Linked DNA regions of Alligator mississippiensis. The protein of the gene in region 2 interacts with the protein of the main gene of each other region in a pairwise test. Links are inferred from orthologs where the notes say so. Each region holds a gene or a part of one and is shown on either strand. Other genes may lie near its edges.

What was found.
Region 1: the proteins of CDK6 (region 2) and CCND2 interact in a two-hybrid assay, tested with the Homo sapiens proteins (2 studies listed by BioGRID, with this or other methods). The link is inferred for Alligator mississippiensis from reciprocal best matches to the Homo sapiens genes CDK6 and CCND2.
Region 3: the proteins of CDK6 (region 2) and CCND3 interact in binary tests that used the Homo sapiens proteins (3 or more experiments, as listed by UniProt). The link is inferred for Alligator mississippiensis from reciprocal best matches to the Homo sapiens genes CDK6 and CCND3.
Region 4: the proteins of CDK6 (region 2) and CDKN2B interact in binary tests that used the Homo sapiens proteins (3 or more experiments, as listed by UniProt). The link is inferred for Alligator mississippiensis from reciprocal best matches to the Homo sapiens genes CDK6 and CDKN2B.

The regions. Positions count from the first base shown.
Region 1 is NC_081827.1:142,428,059-142,435,935, reverse strand, and holds the start of CCND2 (G1/S-specific cyclin-D2), read right to left. Parts: upstream 3,018-7,877; 5' UTR 2,310-3,017; coding exon 2,115-2,309; intron 448-2,114; coding exon 232-447; intron 1-231. UniProt on the Homo sapiens protein: Regulatory component of the cyclin D2-CDK4 (DC) complex that phosphorylates and inhibits members of the retinoblastoma (RB) protein family including RB1 and regulates the cell-cycle during G(1)/S transition.
Region 2 is NC_081828.1:175,267,279-175,274,162, reverse strand, and holds the start of CDK6 (cyclin-dependent kinase 6), read right to left. Parts: upstream 3,002-6,884; 5' UTR 2,537-3,001; intron 988-2,536; 5' UTR 720-987; coding exon 487-719; intron 1-486. UniProt on the Homo sapiens protein: Serine/threonine-protein kinase involved in the control of the cell cycle and differentiation; promotes G1/S transition. Phosphorylates pRB/RB1 and NPM1.
Region 3 is NC_081837.1:39,028,686-39,036,047, reverse strand, and holds the start of CCND3 (G1/S-specific cyclin-D3), read left to right. Parts: upstream 1-4,358; 5' UTR 4,359-4,494; coding exon 4,495-4,692; intron 4,693-6,807; coding exon 6,808-7,023; intron 7,024-7,362. UniProt on the Homo sapiens protein: Regulatory component of the cyclin D3-CDK4 (DC) complex that phosphorylates and inhibits members of the retinoblastoma (RB) protein family including RB1 and regulates the cell-cycle during G(1)/S transition.
Region 4 is NC_081826.1:175,502,682-175,510,315, reverse strand, and holds CDKN2B (cyclin-dependent kinase 4 inhibitor B), read right to left. Parts: upstream 2,834-7,634; 5' UTR 2,699-2,833; coding exon 2,558-2,698; intron 1,045-2,557; coding exon 760-1,044; 3' UTR 515-759; downstream 1-514. UniProt on the Homo sapiens protein: Interacts strongly with CDK4 and CDK6. Potent inhibitor. Potential effector of TGF-beta induced cell cycle arrest.

The DNA.
Region 1 (7,877 bases), on a different chromosome or scaffold from region 2:
GAGTCTCCACAACCTGACAATGTAAAAAATGCAATGCTTTAAAAGTGGGGGGTGCCTTCCACTCCAGGAATCGCCTTAATGGTCATAAAGGGGGCAGAAAGGTCTTGAACTGTTGGAATAGTGTGTGGCACAAATGAAGGCTGTGGTTTAAGTTTGGTGGAGAGAGTGAGTGGGGGGAGGAGGCTGTAACCGTGGGGCGCACTGAAGGTAGAGGTCGGGGGGGCTGCTTACCAGCAGCTCCTGGGGCTTGATGGAATTGTCCGTGTATATGCAAAGCTTCTCCGCAGTGAGGGGGATGGTTTCTTTTAGCTTGGAGGCCAGGAACATGCAGACGGCCCCCAGCAGCTGAAGATGGCACTTTCTGGTGGGCACCACAGCTAAAAATCGGTCCAAGTAATTCATGGCCAGGGGGAAAACCTCTTCTTCACACTTCTGCTCTTCACAGACCTGCAAGCAAGGAGGAGGGGGAACGGGAGAAGAGTAGTGCAGGGTGGAGAGGGAAGAAGAACAACAAAAAATGAATGCTCACATGGAGGGGAGCAGGGAGAGGGGCTGCGGAGGGGCGCTGGGGCAGGGCTGCCCGGGCGGGGAGACTGGCCTCTTGCATTCCTGCAGTTCATTCACTAAGAAATGAATTCAAGGCACTGTGTGGGAGCCCAAAGACTGAGCTTGGGCAACCCCATGATGCTCATGTACCTATATATTTTCTTTCAACCTTCCTCCACTTTTCTTTCAGCCTTTTCGGATTTCGTCACATTTTCCAAAAATCCCTAAAAATCCCCCCGTGGGCCAGAGCCCCCCAGTTCCTGCGGGGCTGGCGCCCCCGGCCGCCCTCCCACCCCGCACCCCTCCTGAAAAAATTCCCCGCGCGGGGGCTGCGCCCCTGCCCCGCGCCCACCACGCGCCCGGGGGCGGTACGGGCTCCGCAGCGGCGGGTGGGGGAACGACTTCAAAAATTCACCAAAAATCCAAGCAAGGGGCAAAAGGGGCAGAAGTGGCACGAAAACCAAGCGGGGGGGCTGCCCTTCCCTGCCCGCTAGGGGGGCACCCTGTAGCTCCCCCCCCGGAGCAGATGGGCTGGGGGGAAAGAGAGGGGCCGGGGCAAAGGAAAGCAGGGCCCAGCGCGGGGCTTGCAGGGCTGCGGCTGGGGGGCGCGGGCAGCGCTGCCCGGGGTGGGGGATGGAGGGAGGGAGCGCCCCGGGGCGCCTCCTGATGCCCCCCCCCCCCCAGCACACGCAGCCCCCGGCCCCTGAGCAAGGTGGGGGACGGCTGGCCTGGGAGCAGGGCTGCATGCAAAGCAACATGGCGCAAGCAGGGCACGTCCTGAGCGCTGCATACGTGGGCACAGAGGCGCCCCTGGGGCAGCTCTGCTCGGGCGGGCACCCCCTGGCCCTCCGGATCGGGGCTCGGCCCCGGGGCAGCTCCCCGGCCCGCAGGGGGCAGAGCAGAAGGGCTGGGCGGCTGCACAGGGCCGGGCTCGGTCACTTTTCTGCACCCCCTTCTCTTTTTTTGCACCCCTCTTTGCAAGCTTTTTATTGCACCCTTAGGCTGCGCGCACACACACACACACACACACACACACACACACACACGTGCGCCATTTCACCCCCCCCCCAAAGCATGGAGGGGAAGGAGCCCCAACTCTGCAAATGAGATCATGCAGAAGGGATCAAGCAAAGCAGAAGCTTGCAAAAAAAAAAAGGTGGGGGGAATAACAGAGACTAGCAAAGGACCCTCCCCCCCTTCCTGCAGAAGGGATCAAGCAAAGTAGAAGCATGCCAAAAGGGTGTGTGGGGTGGGGGGGGGAGCTTGCAAAAAAAAGAGGAAAGAGAGGGGAAAGAAGGGGGGGGGATAACAGAGCCTAGGAAAGGTCCCCCCTTCTTGCAAAAGGGATCAAGCAAAGCAGAAGTCTGCAAAAGAGAAGTGGGGGCAACTTGTAAAAAAAGGGGGGGACAACAGAGCCTAGCGGAGGATCCCCCTTCTTGCAGAAGGGATCAAGCAAAGCAGAAGCATGCAAAAAAAAAGAGGAGGGCAGAGGCAGCAAAGAAGCCCCCTTGCTGCCCCGACGTGGGCGGCCCAGGCTGGGCGGCGGTGGGGAGGGGGTGCACACAAACCTCCAGCATCCAAGTGGCCACCATCCTCCGCATGAAGGGCTGGATGTCCTTCTGCACGCACTTGAAGTAGGAGCAGTGGGGCAGATACCTCTCCTCCACGGTGAGTAGATTGTGCAAAACGCGGTCGTCGTAGAGCAAGTTGGGGTCAGGGAGAGCCCTCCTCATGGGATCCACCTCGCAGCACAGCAGCTCCATGTTTCCTAAGAGAGCTCCCTCTTTCTGGGATGGAAAAGTTGTTTTTTGGGGGGGGAGGGGGCGGGGGTTGGGGAAGGAGAGGGGTAGAGGAGGAGGGTAGGTGGGTGGGAGGAAGGCAGCTCGCTCCTGCTTCCCTTGAAACTTCTCTCTCTCCCCCTCTTCCTCTCTCGCTCTCCTCGATTTCTAGCCTAAAGTTGAAGCGAAGTGACGCAAGGCGGCGGGGCAGGCAGCGCTGGCGCTCGCGGGGCTGGAGCGCGGCGGCCGGGCAGACGTAACAGGCGGCGCCTTCCTCGCCGCGCTCTGTCCTCTCCGGGGTAGCGAAGGGCCGGGAGGCCCCGGCGCAGAGGGGACATGCACAGCCCCCCTCTCTCTCTCTCTTACACACACACACACACACACACACACACACACTGTGTGTCTCTCACACACAGCCTCTGACAGTGTCACACACAGTCTCATACACACACACAATGTGTGTCTCTCACAGCCTCTGACAGCGTCACACACACAGTCTCACTCATACACACAGTGTCACACACGGTCACGCACACTGCCACCCACTCATGAACACAGCCTCCCACTCATGCTCATACACACCATGCCTCACACTCACACACACATCTCACGCTTATACACACACACACTGCCTCACCCACTCATATACACAATGCCTCACACTCACAGACACACACACTCACACAGACACACACTGTGTGTCACACACACACTCTCTCTCCCCCCCTTACTAGCAGCTTCCCCCTTCCTCCCTCCAACCTTCCCCTCCGCAGTAGCCAAACGGGGTCTCTAGTCATTTCTCGCCAGAGGAAACTGGCTTCCTAAACACCCGGGGCTTTCATTTTGCGGGGGAGGGAAGTCGTGAAATAGGAAATGTCCTTACTCGGTGCAGCTCTCGCAGAGGAGCTGGTGCTCACAGGGTCAGTTCTCCAGCTCCCCTCTCCTCCCCCCTCCCCAAATGAGTCTTCTCATCTGCAACCGGGAGACAACAGTCACACTTTGCTCGCCAGTGAAAGGCAAACCAGAAGGTGACAAAAGCAGAGTCCCGAGGCTGTGCTGGTGGCTGTATATACTTTGCAACGCTGATGTCTGGAGGGAGCTAGCAGTGGCCACAATGCAGCTTCCTCGACTGTGTGTGTGTGTGTGTGTGTGTGTGTGTGTGTCGCCCAGAGCTGCTCTACCAGTGCATGCTCACACGCTGATATAACTTTCTAGGAAACACGGAGGGGGGGCAGGCGGAGGAGAAGGGGGAGGAGGACTGGTCCCGACTTCCACCCTTCGCCGCTGCGCGCTGCATGCAACACAGCTGTTCTCGCTGCTGGCCAGGCCGCTGCCCCGCTGCACGGGCCAAGCCCTGGGCTTTCCCGGCTCTGATTCATTTGCTTTCATAGTCACTCATGCTCTGGCTTCTTTTGGCGTGTCTTACATTGTCCCCAGTTGCCCAGGGATGTGTAACTTTTCCCCTACGGACAGAGACGCACAGCGCCCCCCCGCCCCTCTCCCTCTGGGGCCAGGCAGCGGTGGGGAGGGTGCGTGGGGTTTGCTCGGTCCCTTGCAGCAGCTGGACCCCATAGGGTCCTATGGGGAAATGCAGATGGGGCTGCAGGAGAAGGAAAGAGGTGGGCAGGCAGGGGATACATGATGCCTGGGATGAGCCCGGCTTCTCGCGATCCCTTCCTCCTCCCCCCAAGGAAGATGGAGGTGGGGTGGAAGGAGCGAAATATCACTTTAAAAGTGTGAGTTGAGAGTTTGGGGAGCCGCTTCCCCTCCCTCTATTTGCATAGCCAATAGCTCTGGGGCTCTCGCTGCTGCGCGCTGATTGTTACTGGGCAGATTATATTTTAAGGAAGAAGCTGTCCCTCCCTACATCAAAGAAACTCAGCAAGGGGGGGAACCCACCCACCCACCCGCTACTGACCTCACCCGTCGGGGGGGATTGGGATTTCATCTCCCGCAACTCAATAAATCCATGCAATTAGCGACTGCGGCGTGAGCCTGCAGCCAGCCCCGCCAAACTGCGGGGCAAACCGAAACAGCCTGCCCTGAGGCTGGAGCTGCTGTGATAGATTAGGAATCAAGGCATAAAGACAGCTATAATAATAATAGTAATAATATCATCATCATTATTATCATCGTCGTCATTATCACTATAAATAGCAATATGATTATTGCAATCGAGACACACGGGACTGGGGGGCTGGTCATAAAGAGATCATAAAGATGATCATTATCATCATCATCATTGTCGTCATTGTCATTATTACTATCAGTATTCTTGCATAGAGGCACACAGGGCTGGGGGGATGCCCCAGACAGGTTAGGAATCAAGTCATAAAGAGAGTTATTAGTAGTATTATCATCATTATTATCATCGTCATTATCATTATTAATATCAATATTATTATAGCAATAGAGGCACACAGGGTTGCCCCAGATGGTTTAGGAATAAAGTCATAAGGAGAGTTATTATTATCACCATTATTATCAATATCAATATTATTATAGTATAGAAGCACACAGTGCTGGGGGGCTGCCCCAGACTAGCCAGATGTTGAGTCGATGATGCCCGTGTTTCTTTTATTAAGAAACACCCACCCGCCTCTGGACTCCAACCCACAGTGCGGCTGATTCTTGCTGGGCCGGCAGAGCCCTCCTCCTGGGAGACCCTCCTCATTTTCTTTGCCAGCTCCTCCCCAAAGGAGCAGGGGGCTGCGGCCGGGTGCGCATCCAGGAAACCCCGGATGCAGGCACCCGACAAATCGCAGTGGCACTACATTTCCCCCCCTCCTGCCTCCTTATAATGGCATCAGCTGGGCGGTTGTCAATCAAAAGTCCCCGGTAGGAAGCGGTGGACATAGCTGTGTTGTGCAAAGCCCGCATTGTATTCTGCCCCTGGAGAAAGGGAAAAGGGAGGGAGCTTTCCCCACCCCTGCACATACACTGAGGTCTATGAACTAGGAGCTATTAAAAAGCGGCATGCTACTCAATGAAAGGCTCTTTAAACTCCCCCCATTCATTCCCCCTTCCCTATTGCCCGCCTGCTCCTGTAAACAGGGAGCGCGTTGTGTCAATGGCACGTTTGCCTTCTCCAAACTCATCGGAGTGAATTCATAAACGCCCTGCTCCAGCTTGGGAGCCCGAACAAGCCAGGGCTTGTGCTTGAATTTGATTTTCACTGGGGAGCGGGGAGATGGATGTCCTTGTACAGATGTGACACTGATCAGGACAAAGGGGGAAAGACCAGTGACTTTGCAAAGGCGCTGGCTTTTCAGGAGGAAGAGGCAGGAGGGGTCCCGTGGGCACACAGCACACATCTGGAAAAGAAACGAGCACACATCTGGGGGTGTCCTTCACACACCAGGACAAGAAACGAGGTGACATCCCCCTCCTGTCATCTCCCCATGGATATTGCCCTCCAGTTTCAGGATCAAAGCGAGATCACTGGGGGGAGAAATCTTATTTTAAAAGCTTTCTTACTTCGGTGCCTCTCATTCAAAGTATTATATTTAGTTTTTTTGTTTTTGTTTTTTAATTTTTTTGTTGTTGCAAAAATGCTCCTCTCCCCGCCCTGGGAGCAAAGAGTTACCCGACTTCATGCCAGGGCAGGGACTGCCCAACCTTTCCTTGCAAGCCACCAAGTCCAAGCTCCTGCTTTCGGGTTCATGTCTGAGCCGCTAACGTGTGGTTCTCATTTTCCTCCGTCGGGTCGAGATGAGGGTTTTGTTTTGACTCTGGGTGGCCACGGGGCTTGCAGCTATGCCTACACCCGGAGACGCACTTCTGTGCTGTGGAGCAAAAAAAAAAGGTCATTTCTCCTCACTGCTTTGGGAGTTTCTTGCTCAGTTTCAGACCAAAGCTGCACCAGCCACTTGGTTCGTAATGTGGTCTTTATGCCCATGGGCAATCCGTTTTTAGGCTGTTATTATTATTATTACTTTCTTAATACATCACATTTTGAGACAGCAGATGTTTTAACAGTCTCAGTTTGGAGATTATCGAGTGCCATATGTTAAATAGCAAGTCCCCCATCCCCCCCTAAAAAAAAAAAAAAAGAAACCCCCTTCTCGCGCACACACTCCCTTCTTTTGGCGGGTTCAGAGCATAAATGATTCAATCAAACGCTGTCAGAATATATATCTTTGTATGCCAACACCTTATAAAGTTGACACCAGTGTCTGGAAAGGTTGTGGGGAAGATCCTCCCCCCTCCCAGTGTCTAAATCACTCCCTGCAGCGATGTCTCCAGTCCAGCTGCAGCCCGCACCATGCTGGATTTTCGCGGAAATTCAACGTCATCCTGCCAGCTCACGTGGGAATCATTTTTCCTCGGGAAAGCGGCGCCTATTGCTGCTGCTGCTGCACAGTGTTATAGTATGTGATGCTGGAAGCCACACGCTCTGTACTGGAGGGGGTGCTGTGCTGCTCTTAGTGCTGTTGCCATCCTGTGAAAGGCAGCGATCTGATCAAAAAAAGCGATTGGCATCAGTTTTAGGAACGTCCTCCTCCCCTGCCCCCCCCCTTGCAATAATTTTCCATTCACTTTGAGTACCGTTATCCCTTTATATTAATAATCAGGAGCAGAGCAACTATGAACTGGACCAGATGCTCCTGATTAATATTAATCCTAACCTCTATAAAACTATGTTAGGGGCTGGAAGGGACCTCCCTTTATATTAATAATCAGGAGCAAGGTCCCTTCCAGCTCCTAACATCTATGAAACGATGAACAACACAGTGATAAAAATGCTATTTTATTATTTGCAGGGTTTTTGGTTGTAGCTGTGCTGGTCTAAGGACATAGGCAGGTAAGGTGCTTTGGGTAGATGTGATATCTTTTATTAGACCAACTGAGTAGGTGGAAAGATGTTCTTTGCAAGCTTTCAGGCACAAGCACCCTTCTTCAGGCATAGGGAGTCTCTGTTGTTCTTCTGAGATCGCCAAGGAATGAATCGAGCTAAAAGTGTGACAGGAGGTCTAATAAAAGAGATCACATCTACCCAAAGAACCTTGCCATTTTATTATTTAATGTTCCAGAAAATAAGGGAGGCTCTTCCTTTTTTGCCTTCTGCATCTTTCTAGCTTAATTTATTACCCTTGTTTATTATTATTTCAACTCCTCCCCTAGCAAATACAAGAAAAGAGACAGTAAAAGGGGACTGCGGGGACACAGATCAAATTTTGAATCTGAACCTAAGGTACAAAATTTAGGAGGGTAACTTCTTTTTTTGTAAATGTCCAGTGGGCACAGATATTTTTCTTGTAGTTTATTTGTTTAAACCAAAGACAGCCTTCAGCAATGCTTGTAATATGAACACTGAGCAATGGAATACTAGGATCTGAAAACGAGGCTGACTGGAAGCCAAAAAGAAACAGATTAATATACTTTCATTGTTTAAGTTAAGAGAAATGCAAAAAAAACACAAAACAAGACCCAAATAGCATGATTAATGCCAAATAAACTTGAACATATTTTAATTTTGCTGATCTAGAATATTTATTTATTTATTTTTTAAATATATAGCTGACTTTTACTTTTTCTGAAACAAGCTTTGCG
Region 2 (6,884 bases):
ACAAATTTATAACACTTTCTGTGTGTAGAATCTAAGAATTGGGTGGGTTGCCTTGTATTTGAGTAAATCTGGTACATTTCTGCCAACATTACAATATCCACTCCCATTTTTATAATGAATAGGGCAGCAAAAATCTGTTCCATTGGGAAGAGCTGATCCCCAAGACAAAAGAACTGCTCCCTTTTCCTTCTTCCTGCTTATGCCTAAGGCATACAGTGTCTCTATGGTTCCTTGCCTATTCACTCAAATACTTAAATAACACATCTATACCTCTGGAAATGGGCATTTATATGTGGGGGAAACAGAGCAAAAGGATGAGGTGAGGTCTGGCAAGCTAAACCTTCTGCAATATTTCATGTACTCAATCTAATACTCCATAAATTCACCCAAACTGGCACCCACTCCCATCCATGAACCCAAAGTTTTGTCTGCCCAATTAACATAGCAAATCTAGAACCAGCCAAGTTTCCTACTCCAGCTCCTCACCTGACCACATTGGGGTGCTCAAAGGTCTCCAGGTGCCTCAGTACTGCCACCTCACGGATGGTGGAGAGCGGCATCCCCTCCTCGCTTGTCTGCACCCGTACCCGCTTCAACGCTACAAAACGACCTCCATTCTTCAAGTCTCGGGCCTTGAATACCTTCCCATAGGCTCCTTCGCCAATCTCAGCCACACATTCATACTGCTGGTCAGTCAGGTTCGTGCTGTCCTTATCCATGCTGGCACAGCTTCTCCTTCTGTCCCTGAAGTCTCAGATGTACTGCTGAACTGGCTGTTGCCTGCAAACTAGGACTTCGATGGCACTGACACAGTCCCACAAAAAGTGTATGCAGAGCTGCTACTACTAGAGGAACAAGTTGAATGGTCTCCCTCCTTGCTCCCCTCTCCTGCTTCAGTACAATCCTCAAAGTGCCTTCTTTCTTGGCAGTTCTTCAGCAATTATCGTACAGCCTTTGGGATCATTGTCTGTGTAAAGTCAGTATGATCTAAAATACAAAAACAAAGCAAGAGAGGTTCATTTGTGCTGGGTTGCCTCCCTTCCAGCCCACAACATGCACATTTCACTTCACCATTACTTTGTATGGTTTAATAATTGTGAAAAAATAAACTACTGTGCACTATTGGATTAAATGGGTATATACAAAACATAATATGCAGAGGAGTGAGGATATGTGGAACACAGTAGGACTATAGATGTATAAATGACATTATAGGTTAAGTTGTAAGCACAACACTGTGTGGTTAATATGGTTTGCACATAGTATTACGATAGGGCTAAGTGGATCGGTTGTATGCTTTGGGATTACACTGAACACCAGACAATGGGATACACACCACTTTATGATAGACAGGATGCATAGCAGAGCATGCATGATTGGGATTTACGATCAAGAGTGTACAATTTACAAGTCTGCTGAACATCTTATGGTGCAATGTTTGGGCTATACCCAGCAATTTATTATCAACTACCTATCTGAACTAAGATAGCATTTCAAAGTCCTGATCTCAAATCTATTTCCCTGTGTGCCAGGCAGCAGTCAAATATATAACAAGAGCCAGTTCCTGCCTTGCAGTGCCTGAGAGGAAAAATATGGCCATGAGCATATATTGCTAAGTATTTTGTGATGAGGTGTTTCCTACAATATGTAATCTTAATAATTGTAATCAGGTAAATGCAAACAGCAGTGCAAGCATTTTCAATACTGTAAGACTGATTAGTGGGATTGTGCTGAGCACCGTGTGACCGGACAGGTGAGGGGAGCTAGCCTTGAGTACCAGCCTGGTCAACAACGACTGCCTGGAAAGCATCTTCTTCACCCACCTGCTGCATGACCTTCGGCAAGTCCTCTCCCCTCTCTGTGTCTCCTCTCGCCCCCCCCCGTGCGACGGGTGCAGCCAGAGAGATAGTCAACTCTCTCGGGCCACTACCAAACTTACACAAAAGGGCACTGATCTCAAGCCTGGGGTTGTCCGAAGTAGTATTTGAATTCATAACACCATCCCTGCCTGGCCAGGGAGGCTGGAGAGAAGAGCTGACTTTATACCGTTGTGCTCTTCCAACTTCAGGGTGCCGCGAACAACCCCTGACCTCTGCCAACCTGTTGGCGGCTCCCTCCTGCAGCCCGTTAAAGGCAAGGCCTGTGCCTCGCTGCCATGTTACCTGCCTTGCCCTTTGCTGCAGCACACCCCCTTTCCTGCAGGCAACAGAGAGCCCTTCTCTGCACCCACGGGGAAGGCAGGGCCCTGAGCGGCGGGTGCGGGGCACCAGGTCCAACACCTCAGCGCTGTGGTGGGGCAGTTTGGGGAGGAGGAAGGGAGCAGCCTCGCGGTCCCCGCCGCTGCCGTCGCCCGGCCCGGCCCGGGCCCGGCCCCACGCGGCGCTGCCGGAGCCCCTGCGGCCCCCTCGGACGGGCGCCCCGGGGAAGCCCCCGGGCAGGCCTGGGAGCGGCGGCCGCAGCTGCACGTGGAGCCCCGGGGACCCCCCCACCCCCTCCGCCGCGAGGTGCGGGCAGCACGTGGAGCCTCCCGCATTACCTGGGGCCGCCCCGCGGGGCGCGCAGAGCCCGGCTAAGCCGCCGCCGCGGGCAGGAATGTGCCCTGTGAGGCGCCTCCCATGCAGCTGTGCGGAGCACGGGCCGGAGCGGGCACCCGGCCTTCATTCACATGGTGATGTCCCCGGCAGGTCCCCGCCGCGCCGGCCCGGGCCACACAGGTAGCGAGGCAGCTCCTCCCCGGCTCCGCTGCCCTCCGCTCGCATCCTCCCGCCGCCGCCGGGCTGCACCTTCGCGCGCGGGGCGGGGGTTCGGGCTCGCCCCAGAGCCCGGCCTGCTCTGCCCCCGCCCCTGCCCGAGACACAGAGAAAGAGAGAGAGAGAGAGAGAGAGAGAGAAAGTCCCGTGTTAAAGCAGCCCGCAGCGGATCAAAGCCGGCAGGCTGCAGCCGCCCTGCGCGGGGCTCTGGCGCAGCCCTCCCCGCCGCTCGTTCCGGCCGGGCCCCGGCCCCGGCCCCGGCCCCGGCGGCCCCCGCTCCCTCCCTCCCTCCCTCCCTCCGCGCCTGGGAGCAGCGCCTCCCTCCCTCCCCCTGGCTTTCCCACGCTGGCTGAATGTGACTTGACCCCGTTTCAAAAAAGTTTGACATAGTGCTTCAACATTTCCGCATTCCTCCGGGACTACAAAGGCTGCGGCCGCCTCCTTCTGCTTTCTGTCTCTGCTCTCTGTCTTCACACTCAATGAAATCCTTCATGTGCCTCTGCCAAAGGCGGCCGCATACCGCGAGGGTCGCCGAGGCGGGAGGCAGGCACCCACCCGGCCCCGTGCGCCCTGCCCGAGTGCTCGGCGCTGCAAGAACACCGCCTGCAGCATCGCCTTGCCTGTAACACCCCCGCAAAACAAACAACAAAACAAAACAAAAAACCCAACCCAACCCAAAATGCTTGATGGCCCAGCTGGGGAAGCTCTGTGCAAACAAGCTGGGAATCAATACTGCTGAATCTTCATTGCTTGAGACTTTCCATGCACCAATCTCCCAGGAGAGCCAGTCCTGGCAGGAAGTTTCATTACTCAGGTGCAAAAATTGGTTCAGAAATGATACCTTTTATTAGACCAAATAGGATGCAGCAATTATTTATTGTGTTGCTGGAGTTATGTATCAGATGCAGCAGTTATTTACTGTGTTGATTAGATTTCTATACCCCCCCCCATAAAGGCTTGCGAGATCATGGCGGGGGGCGGTTTTGTGCAAGCCAAAACGGTCAAGAGGAGCCCCTACCCCGCAGGGCGGCGGGGGGACGGAACTCGAGGCTGACCGCTTTGCTGAGGCAGGGAAGGCTTTGGGCAAAGTGGGTTGCGGAAAATTGAGGAAATATTTTCCACGGAAAAATGCAGATGCCAATCTGCTCTCCCACTGCAAGTGAGAAAGGCCAGGTATCGGCAGCTCACCCTCTCCCTTGGCCCTAGCTGCTCCATTCCACCAAATGCGTCTAGGAACCGCTGGGCGGTTCTGGAGTTTACAGCCCACAGGCCACGGGGGGAGCGGGGCAGACCCAGAATCTCTCACTTCTTTTGCCAAAAGGGCACTATGCATAACAATTCCTTCTGTTTACCAGCAGAAGCCACTGGTATATAGGATGTTATGTACCTAGGTCTTGATCTGCTGAAGCTGACTTAGCAGTTTTATGTACATAAGATCTTATGTGATTAAAAGACTTAGGGTCCGAGAGACATGCACAGAAAACAGTTTTTTGTTGTAAATTTTTTTTTATTTCATGGGTCCTCTGAGCTGTCATTAAGTCCCCTGGCTGAAACAAAGCTTGGGGTATGGATTCAATGGTTCATGCCAAAGATGAAGACTAATAAATTGGCACTCTCCATCCCTGTTCCTGAGTGGTTTCAAAGCATCACTTGGAATGAGGATGCTGAGAAAGACCCCTGGCTTCATCTTCCAGAAGGGTCAGCTTACACCAATGGAGATCTGGAAGCCTTTAACAAAGTTGTGTGTCCTGTGTACCAATTTTCGCAGAAATCCATGCAAGCACTGAAGGATCTGCAGGAACCTGATTTATAATCTGATTTTTTAAAATTAAATATGCAGTCTTATACAATAAACTTTGTTAAATGTAATGTTAATTTTGCAAAAGGTAGTGACAACTTGTTAGAACAAATCCTAGCAAAAATTAGAAAGCTCAGAACTTAAGGTATGTAATAAAATGAGCTAAAAATCTAAATATACATAAAACTTCTTTTAAACAATAATTTTAGATATGCACAACTGACATAATATCATAACTACATGGACATTACCTCTTTTTCATTTTTTTAATATTTAGAATTTTCTAACTAACATTCTTGACCTTTTTACTGAACTGTTTTTTTCCTGAACAACTTTGGACCAGATTCAAATCCACAGGTACATGGGATGTAAAATCTCTCTCTCCCCCTCTTTGCATGAAAGAGGAGCCACATACCTGCTGGCACCTTTCCAAAAAGATTTCTAGATATTTTAAAATTCTAGCTTGGACTCTACTGGAACCCTATTTTTGGAGTCTGCCTGACCAGACACTCAATCTTTTAAACACTTAAGTGTACAACTTACTAATGGATGCAGGAGGGATAATGTTGCTATTTGGGATTTTCATTTCCATGGCAATTATTCTGTATTGAAATCTGCAACTTTAATATTTCATTAAGAACCACTGCAGACAGTTCATAAAACTCCTCCTCAAAGCACTCTGCCTACCCAGCTCAAGAATGTATGTGATGGTTCTATATGGTATAAATGTTTTCTCTACATAAATTTGTAATGATCTCAGTATATTTGACTACTGAAAACATAAATGTGTTATGCTACCAAACTGAATGAGTCAACAATGTTTAATGTTACACCATTTTACATTATGAAGATGCCACATTTTACAAAGCTAGCTGTGATTTCAGAAATATTTTCGAGAATGTTTTAAAGTGTTAAGAAAGTGTTTCTTTTCTCTCTTTTCTTGTGAGGCCAGGTAATTTAGTCCTACTGTCCAGGGCTTAGAGGAGACTTATAAACCTTGAAAATTACCTAAAATAAGATTTCTGTATGAAAAAAAATTGATTTCAGGCAGGAATTTCAAAAGATAATTTAGTGTGAAAAGCAATAAGTAATAATGAGTAACACAACAAACCTTTCTGCCCAGAAAAAAATTGCTTGCTTGGATTTGATTAATTAAATACTATTTGAACTTTAAAACAATTGCAATAGATTTTAAAGCCATAATTGCTTCATATAACTTGCTTTGTGAAACAGGTAAAATTCAGAAAAATAGAATATGCTATTGGATGTGAAAAAAGCCATTTTTGGTCTTCTTTTGAAAAAAACCATAAAATATTTATTGTTCCAATTTCATACCAGAGACATTTTATACTTCAGTGTTTCTGTTTTAAATATACATTTTATTTTCACTTTGTATCAACAAAGAGAATAACCCACATTGTTTTTATGGTGTAAAATGTCTTCATTGATTTATATTTATTTAAAACCCTATATCCATTTTGGGGGACTGGTATTGTAAAAGTCCATTAAATATTACTAAGAAATGAAGTCAGAATAACTGAGTTTTTGGTAATTCTGCATTTATTATTATGAAATTGTTTGTTGTACTGAAAAAATTGCTCTTCTGACTGAAAGGTTAGGAGAAAACTGCATTCTCAACTTTTCTTTAAATCTACCAGTTTTATTTAGTGGAATCTTTTTTGAACTCTCTTCAGCTTTTAAACAATGCTTTTAAACAGAAACTTATATGGGAAGGTATTTGAGTGCAATTCTATATTTTATTTGTTTGCAATCTTAATTAAAGTATGATTGCATGACCTTGTAAATAACACCCCGAATTATTTTTGTTGCTTTAGTGAATACAAAATGCATTTTAAAAGTAATATAATTACTGAAATAAGCATACGACAGTTTATTTGAATAAACTGGAAGTGCTAGTATCAAGAACTGCTATGAATAGTCTAAGACTTTCAGAAAGAAAGATGCACACTGCATTGTTTTGTTTTGTGTGTTTCATCTCTGTTTCAGGAACTGCTAAAAGTTTGTTGGGGATTACACAGTTGGTTTTACAGGAAATCCTCATGCAAATCAGAATGAAACTTATTCTTCAGAAATAACAGAGGTTTGGGGGGAGAATGTGGCTATATATACACTATTATTCAATATTCCCTATTTATGTCTGTTTAACTTGCAACATCCATTTTAGCTGACAAGGTATGATTTTTACCCTTTTAGTAAGGCAATCCTGCACACAAAAACACTTAGGTAGTTGAAAAACTAAGTAATGTTTTGCCAGAATAGACATAAATCAGTTGAGTTAGTACTACAAATCATGGATAATTGTAGAATCCCCTAAT
Region 3 (7,362 bases), on a different chromosome or scaffold from region 2:
GGCACAGCATAGCAGTAGCTTATTCCCAAGCTATACAGGTATTAATAACTTGATGGTCCTATCTGTGTAGCTAAACCAGGATTATACTGATATAATTGGGTTAGTTCACAATCCCACCCTAGTATGGAGTAGGCCTTCTTCAGCCAGCTCGTTGCATCTGCTAAAGGACATCTAAGCCTTGCTGAGGTTCTGTTCCCTTCCCCCTCCACATGATATCACCACAGATTAGTTATTTGTACTCAAGTTTGACCAAGTTAAAGGAAACAGAGTGCAATGGTTGCCAATATTAAGAAATAATATTAGGAAATACATCCCATGTGTCAAGACTGCGCTCAAGCTAAACTCTCACTGCAGCAAATGGAAATCTTTCCTAAGAAAAGGATGATTAAGTTAGGAAAAGGACTTCAATGGGCCCTTTAAGGAGGCAGCTGTTTAAGCAGGGTGTCAGGAAAAGGGATTTCTGGGTTTTGTTACCCACTGAACTGCTGTATGACCTTTTTAACTCCTCTGTGAAATAGCATTCACTTCCATAAAATGGACAGAATGTCTACCTCCGGAAGGTGGTGTGGGTTCTTATGTTTAACTAATTCAGATTTCTACAGTGCTTTGAGATCCCAAAGTGAAAAGTTTTGGGGGTATTTCCTACAGCATCTTTTGTATAGATTCACTAATTTGTGAGAGTTTGGTTTTTATGTCTGATATGTAAGTTAATTAGTTTCATTATGATATTACCGATGATGCTTTAGTTGCAATTTGACAGAAAAAAACAGTTTCACGTTGACAGTTCAGAGCTGGGTAGAAGATGGCTGCAAAATATAAGACATCGGAAAGGCAAAAAATGCATGGCTGAGATATTACAATTGTGTCTATGGACAGATGTCACGGGACAGATCTCAGCTGATGCAAATCAGTGTTGCTCAGTCAACTGCGTTACGCCAGGTGAAGATTTGGCACAAAGTGCCCTTGTTATATGAACAGCTTCTATATCACTTTAGCCTTCTTCCTATGACGGTCTGAGCATGAGTTTGATACCAGCTGAGAATCTGATCCGGTAGCCACACTGGCCCTTTAAAAGCTCCTAATCTTGGTGACTCTCTTAAATTCATCATCAGCATACCGAAATAATGATCCCTCTTGGTGATTCAGCAAAGAATAACATTGCTGGTCTGAGATCCTGTAAGTCTAGAAACCCTCAATTTTTTTCTTTTACTCTGAAGGAATTTCCTTTTTTTACATTGCTGAGTTCTCTGCTACTGAGGCCAGGAAGTTGTCTATCTACAGTCAACAGTGACCAAAATTTGGTTTTCCTGGAATTCTCTCCCTTCCCTCCACACACCCACACAACAGGCTTTTCAGGACTCCTGCAGTCTGTAATTTGCCTTGCTAGCCTGATAATGTGGTTGCAGAGGCATCAGTTTTGCTAAGTCATCATCTGGAAGGAACACTTTCTTATGCCACAACCTTCATTTTTTCCCTTATGTCCCCTGTCTACCATTGAGCCTGGCTGCAGCATATTCCTAACCGGCCGAATTAAAACCACCCATGTGGACAGTGAGAAATGTGAGAGAGGCCATTGTGTCTGGGGTATGGCCTGAAACTTTCAATTTCAACAGGCACAGTCCAGACAACACAGGGACCCAGAATCCAATGGGTCCGATGCGGTTTTCCTTTGCTTGGCTAAAGAAAATATGTTTCGATCTATTTTTACTGCAAAACATGGGATTCAAGGTCCTTCTCTTTGCTTGTACAAAACAAAAGATGCTGCCCACAATAAAAGAATGGGGGACATCCTGGATTAAATTCAGCTGATTGGTCTACAAAAATCTCTCTCATGGATTCTTCAAATATTTTGTGTCCGCAGACCTAGGAGGCTTTTGTGGAATGTGAAGAAAAGTTACAACAGGAGGTAGCTTTTACAGTTCTGTCACCCACTGAAATGCCTCTTTTTTCATTTCAAGACTGGGGTTGAATCGGTGTCATTCAAGCCTCCACGTTTTGCTCATCCCTCTACTCCTGTTCCATGTTACCTTGCTATGGGATTTTTTTAATGCAATCAGCATTATAATGCTATGACATTGGCATCTTTAAAAATGACTAGATCCCATAAGTATAAGAGATGAGTACAGAGAGAGGGATGCTGAAGGTCCTTAGGAGAGGTCATTCAAGCTCTGTGAGTCTGGATTGTAGGAACAGAACCTCGCCGTGTGAATTGCATCAAATTTGTAAAAAATGAGAGCATTTGAAAGCTTTGATTTAAAAAGAATATGGTATGTTCTCTTTTGACTGTTCAGATTAAAGGTTTCCAAAGAGGACAAAGCGCCTAAACCAAGGAGTGCAAAAAACAGTTCTGTTCATTCTTGATGAAAAGGTTGTGTTTTTAAATGGCTGAAGAAGCACAAAAGTGTGAGGTGCCTCAATGTGGTAGTGAATGCAGATGGGGATAGATGGACAAAAAGGATCAACCCAGACATCTGCTAGGTCATTTCAGTTTCTGCCTCCTATGATCCCATGTCCATAACTTGTAATTTTAGACACATTTCTAAGAGTACAGGTCACAGTGGATACTCCATCTTAAGACACTGTGCATGACATTGCTTCCAGCACACCCATGTTTTCCATGTAACCCATTTCTCCCAAATGTGGAGGCTTGAATATACATATCCCAAGGCTCCAAGCTTTTGGCCACACTGATCTGAAGGCATCTGCCACTTCTCCACACACCAAGAGTGGACCTTGCACAGTAACGCTGCAGTATGAATTGCTACACGTGACCCTTTGCAAAACTGCATAGTAGGAACTCCTCGTGAGGCATTTAATCCTAGACCGGATAAAGGAGTAGAAAATATGGTAGAGAACAAGATTAAGCTGACCAAGAGTATGACTTAGATCATCTAGAAGTGATCTTCTACCACCAACATCTTTAATTATCTAATTTATTTCTTGCTTCAAATTGCTCATGCACTTGCCATATGACTGCATCATATAGCAGCAACCTGATAGCAACCAAGAGGCTCATACAAGATGACCATTCCCTTCTAACACCGTCCCTTTCAAAATCAATAGAGCAGTTTGCAAAAATTGGCCCTTTGAGGTGACATTACCCAGATTCATTTTCAACCTAATGAAACTGTTTTTGTCATCTTTAATTTTTCAAGCTTGAAGAAACTCCCTTCAGTTGTTTTTCTAATACTGTAACTGTGACAGAAAAATATGTTTTACTATCCCTGTTCTGAAGAGAGAGAAGAATAAGTGGACAACTGCCTCAGGCACTTCTTTAGCTGTTAGGAACACTTGTATTGCAAAACCATTATTCCATGGGGTTAAAAATGCCAGTGCCTTCAAAAATCATATCTACTCAAACTCCCAGCATTGCCATCTCCCATCATAGAAAATGAAGGTCGGGAAGGCACCTCAGGAGGTCACATGTAGTCCAACCCCTGCTCAAAGCAGGACCGTCCCCATCTAGATCATCCCAACCAAGGCTTTGTCAAGCCAGGTCTTAAAAACCTCCAAGAATGGAGAGTCCACCACCTCTGTGGGGAGCCTGTCCCAGTGCTGCACTAGTGTTAGCAATGCCAGGGCAGCTTTTATGGAGGAAAAAGCCAGGTGCAGACAACCCTTCAACATACATGCAGCTGGTTATTCTCAGAACATCGACGGATTGTGAACAAAAATAGCTACAGAGTTAAATATGGAAGAGAGAATAATAGAAATCAGACATAAAAGACTGAAATGGGAACTCTTCTGAAACCTCCAGGATTTACCCGTTTTTAACCCAGTGAATCGGTATCCCGCCATCACAACTCAAGAGCTTTGCAGATCCTGCAATGTGATGGTATGACATTGTGGCTCCAGCAGACCACATGGCTGCCTAGGTAGGACAATACCGAAGAAGGGCAGTCAATATAATGCACGCTCAGAAATTGCAACGGCTGTAAAACCCCTGCAAGCTAGTCCTTCCCATGGGTTTTTCAGTCCAGTCCCTCTCTTTCCTAGCCCTCTGAGCTAGGGGGCTCTGCGTTTGAATGGATGAGACTGATGGGTGGCATTCCTGCACGCTTTCACGCCCCCCACCCTGCACCGGGGGGGGTGCGGGGGGCACCCCTGGGGCAGGGGGAAGCCAGGCCCCCCTCCTCTTGGCAGGGATCAAGGGCTGGGGAAGCCCTGGCATCCAGGAGCCTCGGGGCCGGGGGCAGCCGCCTCAGACACAGCAGCTGCCCACACTACAGAGGTGACCGAACGGGGCTTGCAGCTCCCTGCCCCCTCCCCTGGGGGGCGGGGCCCGGCGCGTCGCCCCGCCCACTTGGAACGTTGCAACTTCCCGACGTTCTAAAAAGCGCAACAGTGGATCCGGCACTAGCAGTGCCGCAGGGGGTGGGCTGGGCTGGGCTGGGCTGGGCCGGGCCGGCTCCGCGGCTGCTGCGTGACCGCCCGCCCGGCCGGCTCCTCGCCTGCAAGCCCCCGCTCCCCGCCCCTGCCCCGGCCCCCGGGCACATGGAGCTGCTGTGCGCGGAGGGGCCGCCCCGCGTGCCCCGGGCCGGGCAAGACCCTCAGCTGCTGGGGGACCGGCGGGTGCTGCAGAACCTGCTGAGCCAGGAGGAGCGCTATACCCCGCGGGTCTCCTACTTCCAGTGCGTGCAGAAGGAGATCAAGCCCTACATGCGGAAGATGCTGGCCTTCTGGATGCTGGAGGTACGGGACCCCCCCTCGGCTGGGTCCCTGCTCCCTCCAGCTCTCTGTGCCCAGCCGCCGGCAACTTTCCAAGCCTTTGCCCGTCGGGGGTGGGAGCCCCACCCCGGCTTCCCTGGAGCCCAGCTCCCTGGGGGGAAGGGTTTGGGGGTGCAAAAGGGGGGCAGAGCTCCACCTTGGGGCCTTGCTGGCTGCAGGCTCAGCTGGTGGGAGCAGGGGGCATAAAACCAAGCCCCCCTTTGCCCTATGGGGTATAAGCAGCTATAGAGAAGGTGATGGGCAGCAGCTGGGATGCCTCCCCTCCCTCCATGAGCTGCAGCAGGCAGGGGGGAAGTCCTGCAGGCAGTATGTGGCAATGCCTCTAGGGGTCCCCCTGCTCCCACCTCCTCCCCGCAACCGCTGCTGAAAAAGTTCCCTGCAGCATGTGGGGCCTTTGGATGTGCCTGGTGGATCACGGGCTTGGGCCCATCACGGAAGAACTATAATCCTCCCTTAGGAGGGAGGCCGCAGCGGACGCATCGGGGCAGCTGAAGAGAAAACGGGGATGGGAGTGAGGTCCCAGGTTTAAAACTAGTGGTTTGATGTGGGGGAGTGCGGAGCAGAGCACACCGGACAGTGCTCTGCAGCGTGTCTAAATGCTTGGAGAAGGGTTTGTCAGCGCCCAGGGGAGAGCTCAGCTAGAAGATGCCAGCCACCCACTTCCCCAAACACAAAAGCGAATGCAGCCCCCACCCCGCATGACTCACCTGGACAAGGAAAGGCACCAGAGCCACTTTTCCCTTGTCTTAATTAAAGAATGAAACGCCTCAATTCAGAAGCAAATGGGAGATATAAAATGTGGTTGAATCCAGCCAGTCATTCTCTCTACCCCACTGACTGTTGCCACACAGTACCCAGTTACCTTTAAAATAAAAGAAGTGCTCAGCACTGCCTTTTCTATCATTGTTCTGTCTGTTAAAGCCCCTTCCCTTGCCATCGTTTCTTGGCTGGAAGCTGGGTTGCAGCCTGATCCTATGAAGTGCTGGAGTCAATGGCAGCAGAGGGCCCTCAGCTTCTCGCAGGACTTGTCCCAAAGAAACGTCAGTCCCTCTAGCTTCTGATTTTAAAGTGTTTGAGCAATTAAGACCAAATCCAGGTCCTATTGAAATCAATGGCAAAACTTGTATTGACTTCAGTGGCACCAAGATTTAACACTAATTTTTATGATGATGATGATAATTTTATTTTTTCATTACAGGGGGGAAAAATGCAAGCAAAATTAAACCTCTGAAGTATGAGCCTGACTTTATTTTTTAAAGAGAGTCTCTGTGCTGGGGGTTTATGTCAGCCTGTAAAAGGTACATAGGGAAGCAGAGTTAACATTTGAAAGAGAAGGATGATATTAGTTGCGGCATGAGGGAAAACCTCAGTATTTTTGTAGCTACGGTAAAAGAAGGAAGTACATTTGATCAGTGTTTCAGTGGTATAGTCTTGTGGCTAGGATTGAAATTCAGGACTCCTGGATCCTGTATTTGACCATGATACAAGTATGGTATGCACAGAAAGGAGCTCGGAGCTTGGGCAACTTGGGTTCTCTGCCATTGACTTTGTGACATTGGACAAGCCACCTCATTTGGGTACCATCACCCTGAGGTGTCCAGCTTGAGACATGCTGGGACTCACTTCAGAGGTGCTGAGTCCTCACAATCGGTGTGAGCAGGAAGTGATCAGGATCACTGGTAATCGGGCTATAGGCATCTCACGTCAAAGATGGAGGCAGTCACAAGACCTTACACTTTTATACACACACACACACACACACACACACACGATTGTGGTCTCAACCTCTGCCTCCATTACACCCATGCTACCATTTTTCCTGCCTGCCATGTAAAGACAAGTAGTAGTGTTTGAAGGCATCGGGCTAAACTCTGTGCTCGTGTCACACATGAAGTGTTGAAGTTACAACAGCAGAGAATTTAGCTCTTACTATTTAAAGGTCTTTCTGATCACCAGATATACAGCTGTACAGATGTGTAGTGTACTGTAATAATCAGAAGCTTTGAAGTCCTGCTGCAGATAGAAGCTGCTGAGTTCTGCACATCTAAAGCCTCCTCTCTTCTACTTGGGTTTTGTTAGGTATGTGAGGAACAGAAGTGTGAAGAAGAGGTCTTCCCCTTGGCCATGAATTATGTGGATCGCTACCTATCTTCAGTCCAGACGCGGAAAAATCACTTGCAGCTTCTAGGGGCTGTCTGCATGCTCCTGGCTTCCAAGCTGCGAGAGACCATGCCCCTGACTGTGGAGAAACTCTGCATTTACACAGACAATTCCATCACGGCGCAGCAGCTCCTGGTAACCACCCCACCCTGCCTGATAGAGCCCTCACCTCACTCCCTGCTCTTTATACCCTCTAGGTGCTGCTCCCTGGCAACATATGTGCATTGTGGATCCTGTCTTCCTCCTGTTTCTCCCATTCAGCCTCTTTGCTTCCTAACCCAAGTGGACACACTGCCTTTCTGAGATAGACCAGCACCCTTCCTCAGACCTGCCCCCCCTGCAGATGTAGTGGTGGTCTCCCATTCTGCCCGCTAGATGCAGAATTGTGACACTGAAGTTGTAGAAACCATTCTCTATGCTTCAGTGCACATCCCATCATTGAGCCTCATTGTGTCCCATGTTGGGCTCTGTGCC
Region 4 (7,634 bases), on a different chromosome or scaffold from region 2:
GTAAGCTAATAGGGTTAAACTTTGAGGGCTACAATGCTCCAGGAGATGTGCTTGGTTTGGGATGATCTCTTTTTTGGTGGATGAGATGTCAAAGGAGCTTTTGTGACCTGAAGAAGGATCTCTCTCAGCTGTAGAGCGGGTCCAACAAAAACTAAAAGGCAGAAACAACAACGACAAGAAGGTAGAACTGGATCATGAGAGACCAGAATCACTAGCTACCCCCTGCCGGCCCTACCCTTCCTGAAGGAAACAGAAGAGTAGATTCTGGTGGAGAGATTTTTCTCTCTTACCCCATTTTCTATGGGAAAACAAGAATTTAGGAGCTCTCTCTACTGCCTGGCAAGGTTTTCTGTAGAACAACCATAGTCTTGGCAGCATAGGACTGTCATGTGGGGCCTGCTGCAACACTTTAAAAATAATATAAATATATATGATGTTTGTATCCCCCGAGACTCGGAGCCATTTGTCCTCTGTGCTCGGAGGGAACAACTATAGGCCAAGAAATACTCCAGGCTTCGGTCCCAGTCGTTTATTCCTGGAAGTGGGAGCTCGTTCTCCTCGGAATCCGTGCGGCTGTAGCGTGTGGGGGCGCGTTTGAGGCAGCCAGCGGCGGAGACAAGCCCGCGTTCAAGGAGAGGAGGCCCCGAGGGCCCTGCCACGGGGATACGGGAGTCATTATTTACAACCTCGGCGCTTCAGCCGAGAGAGGCAATAAATTACTGGGTGGGAGGCAGCAGCAGAGCCGCGGGAGCCTGCAGTTCAGGGCGCGCCGGGCTGGGGCGGGGGCGCGGCCCCGGGCTGGGCGAGGAGGTAGCGGACCACCGGCAGGTGCCCGTGCTCCCGGGCCAGGTCCAGGGGCAGGCCCCATCGGTCGGCCAGGTCCAGGCGGGCCCCGGCGCGGTGCAGCGCCACCAGCGTGTCCAGGAAGCCTTCTCGGGCCGCATCGTGCGCAGGGCGGGAGCCGGTGGCGGGGTCCGGCCGGTTGGGGTCCGCTCCGCTCCGCAGCAGCAGCTCCACCAGGGGCGTGTGGCCCAGCTTCACCACCTGCGGGCACAGAGCGGCCGTCAGCAGGCGGCACCCCCCCCCCCCACGCGTGCGCATGGGGTCCCCTCAGAGCCTCCCTTGCTGGGACCCACGACCCGGAGCCGCAGGACCCGAGTGGGGGCTGCAGGGGTCGGGGCACCAAAATCCGGACGCTCGTAGGGAAGATCCCGCCTGCCTCCAATCTCTGCCCTGACTGTCCTGCGGGCAGGGACTGGGGCTGTGCCGCATGTCGTGGCCTTCCACCCCACTTGGAAACCGCGGAGATCGCCACCTGCCTCCGCGGCTCCCTGCCCTACGGCCCGAGCTCAGCTCAGCTCGGCCCGATCCCCAGGGAAGCGCGGGCCCTTCGCTCTACCCCGCACTAGCCCCAGCTGCTTTGACTCCGAAGCGTTTACTTTGAACACGAACTCCTGACAAGTACAGAGCATAAGGCATGCAGAATCCCTCACCCCCCAATGACACAACACATACATGCTTAAAACATCTGGGCTAACCTTCAAACTTGAGAGGTTAGAGACTTGTTGCTTTTTAAGGTGACCGTGTCCTAGGCGTCTTGGCCAGGAGCCTGCCCATTGCAGCCCCGATCAGCAGGCGAGACCAACGCACCCTGCCCCGCCTGCGGCCCCTCGGTCCTGCCCCGCACTGAGGGGCTCCCGCGGGCCCCACAGGGAAGCCCCATTTCGTTTGCCTCCTGTCTCGCTTCTATCTAGCTGGGCTCAGTACACGCTTTGTGCAGAAATCACTCTCGACCTGTCCCTCGAAGGGCAGATCGCTTGTAATGAAAGGGCAGCCTGAAACACGAGCTCGAGTGGTGGGTTTGAGTCATCAATTCAGTCTAAGGACAATAGATTATTAAAAGTAAAACTGCTTTCAAAGATCGCAGTCCTGTTTTTAATCGATCTCGAAGTTTTCTGCCCCGGGCTAGATGCCTTGCCTGTTCAGTACTTTCCGCTTTGGCGCCGGACCTGGATGATCGCTGCCTCTTGCGGAGCAGTCACATAGAAACCAGGACATTTTTTGCAGGGCTTGGAGCGCGGGATCTGCCAGCGCCGAGACAGGCGCAGTTTCTCCCGCATGGAGCCCGTTCGCACAGGCAGAGCTCTGCGTGCAGCTACTGGACGCCGGGGTTTGCTGGGTCAGGTCTCCTACCTACCCCCCACAAAGCACTTCTCCTGGCCTGGAAACCGAAGCCCCTGCTCCTCTCCCGTGCCCCGGGGGCTGCAGGGCTCCGATCCCAGCTCACTTGGTTTTTAAATTGCATTGCAAACCGCGGCTGTCTTTTCCACGCGGTGGATCGCGCGTCTCTTCCCCCCGAGAGCTGGAGCCGCTGTCACCCCCTCGCCCTGGACCGAGAGCAACGCGGACCGCGACCGGAGCTGGCTGAGCAGCGATCGCTGCCTCCTTCCGAGAGAATCAGCGGCGCAGGGTGGGGCACCGGCTGCGGCATGGGGGCTCCTGCCTCCCGGATCCCGAGTGGAGTCGTTGGGGACAGCTCTCCCGCCGCGGCCCCTACCTGGATCGGGGTCCGGCCGTAGGCATTGAGGCCGTTGGGGTCCAACCCTTGCGCCAGCAGCTCCCTCACCTTGGCCAGGTTGCCTTGGGCCGCGGCAGAGGCCAGCTCGTGCCCCAGGTCCATGCCCCTGCGCTGGCCCATTCCTCACATCGAGGGGGGGCTGGAGCAGGAGGACTCCTCTTCTGGGCGCCCCCCCGGCCACTTGTGCCAGGCTTCCTCGGGGCCAGCCCGCCTCGGTTCACCCTACACTGCCAAGCTGCGGCAGCCCCAGCCCCAGCCCCAGCCCCCGGCTTGTTTTTCCTGAGCAGCCGAAGCCGCCCCGCCCGCGCCCGAGCCCCGCCCTCGCTGCAACCCAGCGCCTGTTCGGAATCGCCCGCCTCTGTGACGTCACAGAGAAGGGGAACAGCTGGGGACTCAGGAGTACCAGCGCATGCGCCGTGGAGCGTGCTCCACTCCCCTCCCCCCGCCGCTCAGCGCGGTCACGAAGGGGGTGGAAGATTTGCGCTGGAACGGCTGGAGCCCGGTGCCTCCCCCCGGCCCAGCGCCGGGCGGGGCAGGCCTGGGCGCTGCACTGCTCTTGTCTGCTTGCCTGCCACACAGGCAGCTCTGCTCCTGGGCCGGGCTTAATCGCGCCTTGACAGCCCCAAGCCCGGGGAGAACACCCTCGGAGAGGCTTTATTTAAAGCAACGGTTCTGGGAATGGGCCGGCGGAGTCTGGCACTGGCTGGGCTCTTATCTCGTTGGCCCTAGGGGACGAAGGATGCCAAGTGCACCCTCAACAAGGTTGCGGATGACATGAAGCTGGAGTGGGGGGGAGGAACAGATCTGCTGGAGGGTAGGGCTAGGATTCACAAAGACCTACACAAATTGGAGGATTGGGCCAAGAGATATCTCATGAGGTTGAATAAGGACAAGTGCAAAGTCTTAGGAGGGAACAATCCCATGCACCTGGCTAAGCAGTAGCTCTGCAGAAAAGGACCTGGGGGTTACAGTGGACAATAAGATGAATATGAGCCAGCAGTGAGCCCTTATTGCCAAGAAGGCTAACAGCACACTGGGTTGTGTTGGTAGGTATGTTGCCAGCAGATCAAGGGAACTGATTATTCCTCTATTCAGCACTGGTGAGGCTATATCTGGAGAGAGTCCAGCAGAGGGCAACAAAAATGGTGAGGGGGTTCAGGTACATGACTTATGAGGAAAGACTGAGGGGTGTTCAAAAGAGGATGGAGCTAGACTGTACTCAAGTGGTGGCAGATAACAAAGAGCAATGGTCTCAAGATGCAGCAAGGGATATTTAGGTTAGATATTAGGAAAAATGTTATCACCAGGAGGATAATAAAGCGCAAAACAGGCTACCAGAGAGGTTGTGGAATCTCCATCCTCGGAGTTTTTTAAGACCTGGCTAGAATGAGATTGTTTGGGATGGTCCTGCTTTGAGTAGTGGGTTGTACTAGATGACCTCCTGAGGTCCCTTCCAACTCTATGCGATTCAAATTCTGGGCCTGGATTAGGACCCTGGAGATCTCAGCTGTGATCTGTATCCTTAGAAAAGCCGGGTCATTGCTCTGTTTCCCCCCTTGGCTTTTTTTCTTCAGGTCCTTTCATGATTGCATCACTTCTGAGTACCTTCCAGAAGTCCACTAAGCAATGCAATGTGTACTTTACCTATAGGTTTTTCCTTCTACTTTTGTCTTGCCAGTTGAGGTGATTGTAGGTGGAAACAATACAATGGGATTCAGTATCAGCTGGGATCTTGTCATAGCAATAATGTCTCTACCTCTCCTCCCAAATTCGTTATTTTAAAAAGCCAGACTAAGAAAGATTTTGAATTTTTTCAATAAATTCAGCTGTTGGAGAATACTCAAGTTTCACTTTCATGTGTCAAGATTTTGTTCACTTCTCAGCCTAGCAGAACATATGGGAGCTTGGCAAGCAGCAAGTTTATTGGCCTAAGGTGATAAAGATAAAGGGAATTCATGTAAATACAATGAAATATGATGGCATAGATATGCTTGTCATGAAAAAGTTGAGACAAGCTTAAGAGCTCTTTTACTGGGAGCTCATAGGGAGGACTTTTTCACTTTTTAAAAAACATATTTTTAAAGGTTCAGTAAGGTTCAAATAAGGTTCAAACAAGTTTCATGAGGTAGCATATATTAGCTGAAAACATTTCTATATGCAGCATTTAAAAGGTAAATATAATGTGTAGCTTTGGAAAGGAAGGCCGGAAAAGCACATTTTAAATATTTTTGTTTAAAAATATTGAAGTGTGGGGGTCAGAGAGAAAGGGAGAGATGGGGAGAGTCAGCAGACAGGGTGAAAGACAGAAAGAGAACACAGTTTAGTTCTGACAGCTAGGACATTCATCAAATGGATTTGTAACCATGGATACATTCCTTGACAGGATAGTGGCTGGGATCTTTGGGGGAGTCGATAGCACCAAGGACAGCTCCTTTGCTGGCAATTGTTCAATGTGGTTGTGTAATCTAATCCCACTGTAAAGTGGAGGGATTGGAGAGCCAGACATCCCCCACCCCCAAACTGAGGGGTGGGCAGGGAGAGTCGCTTATTTTTTAAAGTGGGTATTATTACTTCTCTTCTTTCCAGGGTGACTAGAAAAAAATGCAGCCACTGTCTATAAATCTCTCTTTTCACTCCAGTGAGAAACTGATCTGTACTGAATGGTGAGAAAACAACATTTTTCTTACATTACCACTTTTACTGAGTTGTAGGGTTGCAGGGATAGTACTAGAGGGAATCCAGGAGAGGAGATGGGATAGGGATATTTTTAAAAAGAGAAAATAGTATTTTAGATGAAGACATTATCCCAGCTATTCTTCACTTCTGTAGTTAAGGATCTTGAGACAGAAAATATAAAAGTTGAAAATAAAAACAGCTCTTACTGAGCCAACAATAACAATGTGCTGTTTTGGACTAGTCTACATCAATCTTCCAGTTTTCATTAGGTTAACATTATGAACCCTACTGAAGGAGGCAGAAAATGATTAATTTACATTACAGTAGTACCTAGAGACCCTAAGGCCCCCCTCCCCTTTGCTAAGTGTCATACAAACACATTGAGGAAATAAAAGCCACATTATGCCATTGCATGTGCATCTATGTAGAGACATGTGGGGGAATAAGAACCCTTGATACCACAGCCTGGGCTTCTTGGATACATATGCACTTCTCTCAGATGACTCAAGGAATTTGTAATGCTTTCCCTGTTTTGTACAGCACTTTACCACTTATGGTGTTCATCTGCGGCTCATCAAAACACCATAAAATCTGTTATTTACACCTCTCTTCTCATGAAATGATTAAACGGGAGACTAAAAACTACTATTTCTTTTCTGACTCTATCCCTTTGTAAAGGAACGTGCATTTTTTCAAGATATGACTTGGTTCCCACTGATAGATGGAGCCAATTATTTCTACCAGTTACAATGTGACAGGTCTAATGGGACATATTCAGGAAGCATTGCCAATACAAATAATTTAGTTTGTTGAAGATTTATTTGCAATGTTTTGCAGATTGTTTAACAGGACTGTGCAATCTAGGACAAGATTATGTCCTTTTGCTCACACTGGGTGCATCTACATGTGAGATTAAGGTGACAGAAGTCTACACATGCGCCTGAGACAGCAGCAGTTTGAGCTGGGGAGAAACAGTCCCAGGCTGGCAGCAGGCTTAATTACTATGCTGTAAGATAGTACTGTTTCCAACAGTACTGTCCTATGGCAGAGTTAATTAATTTTACTACAGAGATAATTAGTCAACTCCACAGTAAAGTGCATGCGTAGATGCACCCACTAAGTGGTTGAATTCTGAAAGCAGTTCCACTGGCATGCAGGATAATGTATTGCTTAGTGTGAGCAGAGAGCAGAATTTGGTCCCTACTGAATTTAGTTCTGACAGTCCTACCTATCTAATAGTGTATTTATGATTCCATTGCTTTGGCTTTCCCATGTTTTGCTCATTTTCTTGTTCTTGGCGACTTTATTACTTTCTATTTAAAATCTGTTTTAGCTCTTAAAGTCATAAGAATCTTAGAAATAACCAAGATGTATACATTTTAGAGAGACCTAGTAAAAAGGAGCATAATCTTTTCAGATAATTAAGTCACAGTGTATCTCAGTTAAAGGGGAAAAAAAATAAGGAGGCTGTTGTACTGAATATTTAGTCACCAGGAAGTCATTTTAAGAGCATCAGTAGTGAATATTAAAATAATGGAAATTCTGCCAGATTCAGGGTACAACTAACTAACCAATAATATTATTGCCTGATTCTCTTGTACATTAAAGTCCTTATGGCCAGAATGCTGCATATGCAGGGGCCTGAAAAATTGTTTTACAATTTCAGAGCAATGTGAAGGAACCTGAATATAACTGAAAATCCAGCCCCGTATCTACATTTCTTAAACTGAATGCTACAGCAAGAAGTCATAATCAATAAGAACAGATTGAAAGTGATATGGGAAAGAGATGACCTCCTTTTACTCACTTATTTAGTTCAAGGACTGTTGCTCCCAGATTGTTGTTTACAGGCATATATGGTAGAATTCCCCTTTCTGGTTTCAGAAGCAGATATACACCTATAAAAGCACCAATATTCAGACCCATCACAATGAAAAAGCAGAAAGCGTTGTCCAATTTAGTTAACAAACAGACAAACAAACAAACAAACTGCAAAAGAATAACAGCTGAAAACACATAAAGATGAGCAAAATCACAAAAGCTTGTTCTTGCATCACATGAGAGGGAATTTGATTTTTTTTAGTTGAAACTGCTTTGCCACAGAGGTTAAGCCACTATGTTTTTCTTCTGTTTTGAATCTGCTGTTCCTGAGATGAATGACAGTTTCTATGCCCAATCACTATCGTTTTTAATGCATTTGCACAGTTCAAAGTGATTTCTTCCGGTTTCAAAGTTAATCATGTGAGAACGAACCCCCACCTAAAAACCTAAAAGAGGAATTTTTCATAATGGTGTCCCTTTCATATATTATGCCACAAATGCCTCAAGTTGGCACATCAATTGAAACGGTAGTAAAAACCAGTCCCATGGCAACCAGATA